Linked DNA regions of Drosophila melanogaster. The protein of the gene in region 2 interacts with the protein of the main gene of each other region in a pairwise test. Each region holds a gene or a part of one and is shown on either strand. Other genes may lie near its edges.

Evidence for each region. Proteins that work in one complex are often made in the same cells at the same time.
Region 1: the proteins of CG31872 (region 2) and Ptp4E interact in a two-hybrid assay, tested with the Drosophila melanogaster proteins (one large-scale study listed by BioGRID).

Annotation. Positions count from the first base shown.
Region 1 is NC_004354.4:4,937,177-4,940,936, reverse strand, and holds the start of Ptp4E (protein tyrosine phosphatase 4E), read right to left. Parts: upstream 1,810-3,760; 5' UTR 1,737-1,809; exon of another isoform or gene 1,633-1,736; intron 1,501-1,632; exon of another isoform or gene 1,405-1,500; intron 1,357-1,404; exon of another isoform or gene 1,262-1,356; intron 516-1,261; 5' UTR 291-515; coding exon 90-290; intron 1-89.
Region 2 is NT_033779.5:10,637,930-10,641,689, forward strand, and holds the start of CG31872 (uncharacterized protein), read left to right. Parts: upstream 1-2,001; 5' UTR 2,002-2,016; coding exon 2,017-3,760.

The sequences.
Region 1 (3,760 bases), on a different chromosome or scaffold from region 2:
TAACTAACTTTGCGGGTTTACCTGTCGCTTTATCTTTATCACTATGTTTTGTTGTTGTTTCTTTTCCTTCATTTTTTTTTCTCACTCACCTGAGCCAAAAAAATTGTCAAAATGCCAACAACAAGCCACACGAAATGTTTTTGTTGTTGTTGTGAATTTTGGTAGTAGTGGTGGTGGTTGTGGCGTTGTTTTTGTAATTGCTGCCGCTTTCGTCCATGTGTTTGTATTTGTATTTGTTGCTGCTGATGATGTGCCCGTAATTGTTGTTGTTTTCGCGTGGCACAGTCCATTTTCAAGTACAGTAAAACCCAATGATGGTCGAAGGTTTCGCAGATTGCTGGTTTTACTTTTCAAGCGGGGATGGGCGGTGTTTTGCGCTTATTGTTTTACACATGTATGTACGTTTGTATTGCATATACATTTCTGTTGGCCGTTACATGGTCATTTGTTTGTATTGCACACGCATATTACGTTTCCTCTATTACTTAATTAATATTGCACTTGTATTGCACTCTCTGTAACGGGAAACGGGAGAGCAATGATGAGCGCGATCGAGAGCGAGAGCGGCAGATGTGGGCCCATTGTAATTGTTGTTTTCTAATACGATTTCCATTAACAATCGCCGGCTAATGCACGAAAAATGATTTATGTCCAAGCGAATTTGTAACGGCACATGCGTGCGGGAGAAGAAGAAGCAGAAGCGAAAGCTGCAGGTGAAGAGCAACACTGATCGTGGAGGGGGAAGCGGCTGGCTATGGAAATGTGAGCCACGCACAAGTACAAGTGCGTGTGCATGAGCGCTGCAAGTGTGTGATTTGATGCAGACACACATGCATACATAATCACACTCACACGCATTTGTGGCTGTAACGGCGCTTCACTACAAGTACAGTGGGCCCTCCCTGCTATTGAACACGCGAGCATGTAAATCTAACGAGATTTAGAAGTTAATATATGAAATGTAAATTCAATGCAAACATATAACGAATTTGGTTAATATGCCCGACAAAGTTTCGATTAGCGAGTCTTCACTGTGGCATTACAGTTTGCTACCGTTGTTATTGTTGCTGCATTACGAAATATCCAGCAATTAACAGACAATTGTTGTTGCCGCCGCTTTTTGCACTTCATATTTGCACTACCACTAGCTGAGCAGGTGTGTGTGTAGGTGTATGTGTAAATTACAGGTACTAGGGTAATATAAATTACAATAGTAGGCGGTTAATGGTGATTGCATTAAATGCTAATTGCACGCATTTACTTTTACTCCACCCTTGCTCTCCCACTCGCTCTCTCTGCCACACACACACTCGGACACACTGATGCAATGACTAAATGCGGCGGCGCAACGGCGTCGACGTTGGCAGCGACGGCATGGACGAAAAAAAAACTAATTCACTTGACTGTTGCTCTTTTTCTTCTGCTTCCTCTCCTCTCCACCCTCTTCATCCGCTTCTTCTTGTTTTCGTTGCACACCAATTTAAAACAAACTAGTCACGTTTCGTTTTAAGCGGAAAACATAAAAACAGAATATAAACTTCTGGCGCGTCGGCGCATTTGTTTAAAAAAAAAGAAGTCACAAACAAAAAATTTAGGCTTTAGTAACCGTTATTATGCAGAAAATAAACTGACACTTTTATTGACCGACAACTTGTTACTGACAAGAAAAAAAATAAGAAAAATTGGTTGCGAAAAGGAATCGGCCACGACAAATTGAAGCGAATGACTGCACGCACTTTTCACCACTGTTCATCAATGAATTTCCACATTTTCTGCCTTTTTGGACGACCGTCGCTTAACGAATGAATATAAATACAATACAAAGGCGTGACCGCCGCGCAGTGCTGCCGAAAAACAGAAAAAAAAACCCAAAAATACTGAATAAATACCACATATTTTACACAACACAGGGTCACTCATAATTTATTTAAAATTGTTAAATTTCTTAAAGAATATATTGTTAATATTATATGACATGTTTTGCTCATGTTTGACCAAATTTGATGTTTCGTTGATTCGGAAAGCGAAATTTAATTCATGCAGTTGATATTCAACAAGTATTCGTGCAGTCACACTTTGCAATTTCAAAAATTGCAATTTGGTAATTATTTCCAATGGTATTATTATAACTTTGTCATTTTTATTACTAGTCTTCTAATAGAAAATACAATTTATTTTATATATTGATATATTTAGTAAATAAAATAATATTTTGAGCACTTGTTAAAAATGTATCCATGTTTTCATAATAAACAGAACACACCAACTCAAACAAATTTGAAAATATCTAAAATTCGTTTATATTTGCAGAGAAGGAAATACCAGGTAATAAGTGAATTAAACTGTTTTTACTGAACTTTTTACAAAAATTTTATAATTATTTTTTTATTTTTTTTTAGATATGCAATATGAAAATTATATCAAGCAAGCTTAAGAAAGTTATATGAGCACCGGCACTCAAGGCTCACAGCTCGTAGAGTAAGTAGCTATCTTATGGTATTATTATATACAGGTTCATTTTTATTTGGTTTTAAAATACATATATCTCTGTATATATAACAAGTTTTTTTTCGTAGAACCTCAGAATAATCTCGAAGTGGTTTTGTGTGGGGTTAGCTAAGACGTTTTGAGACCAAAAAATTTATTAAATTATATATCAACAAAATTTAAATTAAACGTATTCGTAAATTAAATAAAATGTAAAACAGGAGTATGACCAGCTAGCTGTATTCAGTATTTTTGTTAAATTTAATATATTTCTTTAATTCTGTTAGGTAGCTGTAGCGTTAACAGCACTAATCGATAAATTGCCGAAGCTGTTAGGAGCTAACATACAGTCACTAGCAGAACGTCAAGTTGATGTCAGTAGCAATCAAAAGTGAAAAGGAAGCGAAAAAGTGCATTTTAAACTGAAAATAAAGTGTGATAAATAACAGTTGTAAAATCGAGCGGCTCAACCAAGGTAAAGATTGCAAGTACTATTTGATTGTCACAACATATCATATATGTTAAATATGTAACATATTTAAGGAGCAACACAAGCAACATACAACTGTGGTGAATGTATCTGTGTAAATATTGCCTTGGTGTGCGTGCAGTCGGCTTCATTTTGTTTTGCTGTTGACCTTCGCAGATCGAAAATGAGTTTAAATCGAATTCGTAAAAAAAAAGCCGCTTGAACTCTTCCAATGTCAAAAGCAGCGTTCAGAAACTGCGGCAATTGTGCGAAAAACACCAGAAAATAACGCCATCAATAAGTAGCACACAATACATGCAAATGTGTTTTTTTTTCTTGTGTCTTTTGCGCGCGCTTTCTCTGCAAATGTATTACTTAACAGTCGCTCTCTACGTCCCCATATCTCTCTCTCTCTCTTTCTCGCTCTAGAAATATAAACTAAACATTTTCTGCCTTTTTACTTTCTTTTTCCGGCTTTTTCTTGTTTTTGCCTGGCTATTACGGCTCATCTGTGTGTGTGTGTGTGTATGTGTATGCAGATACCGTTATGAGAGCGAAACCTGTTTCACATTCTTATGAGAATTCCAATCAAAGTCTTTCACTTTCCGTAGCTTGTTAGGCGCAAATGAAAACAAGGTCAGCCGCTGTTAAATACGCATGTTTTTATACAATATCTATCCTCGCGTTTCCTCTGTTTTCACGCTCAATTTCGCTCGTTGTTGTTTTGCAAGTCGAAGAAGAGGAAGCGGCAGGCGTCGCTTGCACGCACACAAGCACACTCCCTTAAAATTCCATTTGCGGCGT
Region 2 (3,760 bases):
CGTTGGCCAATGGAGCATGAAATTACTGAGGGGTGTGCCGCCGGCAAAGGGGGGGGGGGGCTGTACTTGTGTGAACATGGAAAACGCTCACATAACCAGGCAAAAAATACACTCAGAAAAAGAAAATCTCACAAGCATCAATTCAGAACATGCTTTCCTGGATGAAACTGTTTAGAATGTAATTTTTAAATCCCCAGAGATTAGCTCTAGTGGTATTAATTATAAAATGGAAATCTACTAATAGTTATATCTCTTACCTAAAAGTAAAAAAAAGTGTTAAATTTCAACCATCTTACTTGTTCAAGTGCACCAAGGTTCGAATGTTACAATCTTCATACCACTTAAGACTGCGTCGCGTTCTGCTCGAGTGCAAAGGGGTAACGATTGAAGATTGAACTCAGGAGTTCAGGAGCAACTGAGGCAGTCGAAAGTCACACCAATTGCGATTGACTGGGATTCCGGAAGGTGTCCATCGGGCGTGACACTGGCGGTGAGTGAAACTACATGTGTGGGAAGCCCAAAGGAAATACATTGAACAACCAGAACAATTAACTAATAACACAAAGAGCAATCATATCAATGCGATACGCCAGTGAAACCGATTTCCACAGTCCACATTACTAATTGAAAATACTCGTGACGGAATCCGATAACCGATGGCATCCAAATGCTGGCCATAAAGGGTGAAATCGCTCGTTAGCCCTCCACATGACCGTTAAGTGTCTCTGCCCAGCCTGATTCCTGGAACCCAACCGCCATATGCTTATATGGCATGACTGTGGGCTGAGCGCCCCAGTGTCATCATTACCATGACTAGGATTACGATTACTGTCATCGTCGTGTCATCACAAACACACGCAGACTTAGCGAGCGTCTTTATGGCTTTTGGCGTTGAAATGATAAGTAAAGTTTTTGCAGAACGTAGCGAACATTTTCCGGACATGGGGCTTATGTCCATGCTGGAAACATATGGCATATTGCCAGGCGAAACATTTAATGGTCTGCAAAATGGCCCGGGCCGGGACATTAAAAGTTGCTTAACCTTCATTAGGCGCCCGATTCCGCATCCGAATCCGACTGACGGCGAGATGAAATTTAATATATGTCAGGTCCCGACATCGGAGGGCTTAATGCCCCATTTGTGCAGGGCGCCACTGCATCCAAATGATGGTGCCAGAAAAAAAAAGCAAATCACCGCAAGTTGGCATGGAGCTTTAATCAGCCCAGCAGGCAAAAGGGCTAGTGGTGGTGGACAGGAGGGGGTGGTATTAAAGGGGCGCAAGGACACTAGGCAAACTCAATTTCGAGCTTGTTTCACGGGACAACGACCACGCCCAACCCGACCCACCAGAGGCGCTAATGCGGCGACATGGCATTATCCTTCTTCCTTTCGCGACTTCTTTCCCGACTTTTCCGACCACGGCTGCACTCTCCTTGGGTATTTTGATAATCAAATTTGCGCAAACAAGCGAGTGGCGTGAATTTGCCAACGCCACCGGAACAAGGACGAAACAAGGACCAAGGATAATAACGGTTGCGCCTCGTGCACTTGTGCAATTAGATTGTCAAAAGTTCAGTAACTTTACCCAAACCGAAGCGCCTTAAATTCTCCATTGTTCTTCTTTAAATTACAGTTTCACTATTTTTGATTTTAGATGGTAATAAAAAAATCAAGTGTATCCTTAAGCTTCTACTTAACATAATTAGTTATTTAAGTTCGATTAAATGAAAAATCCGCAAACCACACACTTGATCTATATCTTGTGTTTGTAACTGGGAAGCTAAGGCAAAAAAAAAAACACTTATTCAATACCAAATCCTGGAATTGTAACAATAAAATGTATTTTCAAGAAGCCCATCAATCTTGCTGTCCCAACTCATTTGCCACTTGTGATGTAACATCGAGAGATAATCCATTTAAAATCGCTTTAATCCATGTGTTATCAATTTCATGGCATTTCATTTGCGAGCCTATAAAAGGCTCCTTTCCGATTCGCTGCTAAAAGTAGTTTCAGAATGCAGTTAGGATTCCTTTACGCATTCGTTGCGCTCTTGGCGATATTTCGAGTGGAACCCAGCGAGGGAATTATTGATATAAACAATCAATTGAACAATATTATAAGCCCCCCGATCCTTCCTGCGGTTGAGAGCATATTGGACATCAATGGCGATGCAGATTCAACAGAAGATGAGCAAAAGGTGCGCTTGCAAAGAGAATCCATTGTAAAAGATTACGGATTCGTGTTTAAACCTCAACCAATAGTCTTGGAAAGTAATTCAAGCTATAAGCCCTCAGTTGAATCTGAAGGACAGGCCCAATCGTTTAGCCGAGGGCTTGAAGAAGCGAAGCTTCAAATCCAAAAGCAATCTCAATCACAATCGCAGGCTCAAGGTCTAGGTCAATCACAGCAACAAATCCAATACGCGAATATAGCCAGAACTAAAGTCCAAAAACAATTCCAATCGCAACAACTAGGACTGGCTCAATCGCAGCAACAGACCCAGATTCAACAATCACTGAATCAAGATGGAGCTAAATTACGAGAAAAACCTTATCCGCATATTCAAACTTCATCACAAAGAAACGCCGATGATCCAGAAAGTGAAGAAGCTGAAGCACCAGGAGGACTGTCGGGAAAAATAGCTTTAGTACCACCAAATGAAGAGGGAGATCAAAAGCAAGACCAGGCTCAATCACAGATTGAAGATGAAGCTGAAGTTCTTAGACAAGGTCTGGCGCAAACGGAATCTCAAATTCAGAATCAAAGACAAGGACTGGAAAAGGAGATACAAGGGCAATCCCAATCGCAGGATCAAGCTCAATCCCAAGATGAGGCTATTAATCCAGAATCGGCAAACGCTGAAAATCGATCATCACAGCAATCGGGAGATGTAGCAGAGAATCAGGACCAAGCTGAATCACAGGCTCAAGAGCGGTCACAATTGCAGTTAGAGGGTCAAGAACAGTCCCAAGATCAAGCACAATCGCAAGATCAATCGCAGGCTCTGGAAAAAGGGGGTGCACCGCCTCTATCACCACAACAATCGCTAGTTCAAGCAGAGGATCAAGCACAAGAAGATCCCATAGACCAATCACTTCATCAAGCGCAATCTGAAGTACTAAACCAAGTTAAGTCGCAGACTAACGGTCAATTAAAGGCTCAAGCTCAAATGCAAGCTCAAGTTCTCGATCAGGCTCTGGAAGATGCGCATGTTCAATATCAATCTCAGGCTCAATCACAAGGAATATCACTGTCTCAAACGACGCAACAATCGCTGGTCGAACCAGACGATCAAGCAAAGGAAGACCCCGTAGATCAATCACTTCATCAAGCCCAAAGTGAAATAATAAAACAACTTCTGTCACAGACTAACGATCAAGACAAGGCTCAAGCTCAAGCGCAAGCTCAGACTCTCGATCAGGCTCTAGAAGAAGCTCATGTTCAATATCAATCTCAGACTCAAGCACAAGGAACTCCAATCTTTCAACCACCACAACTTCAACCAGAGGATCGAGATCAAGATACCGCTTTAGACCAATCTCCGACGCAAGCTCAATTGGATGCTCAATCCCAATCACAAGAACAAGCGAATACTAAGCTTCAGCGGAAATCTCAAGCCCAATCAGAAGCTCATGGTATAATTCTTACAACCTTGAGGAAAGCGCAAGCGCAACAGCAATCTGAAGTTCAATCACCGCAGCAAGAACCACTTCGATCTGATGATCAATCAGGCGATCAAGCTGGGGATGTAGCGCAAA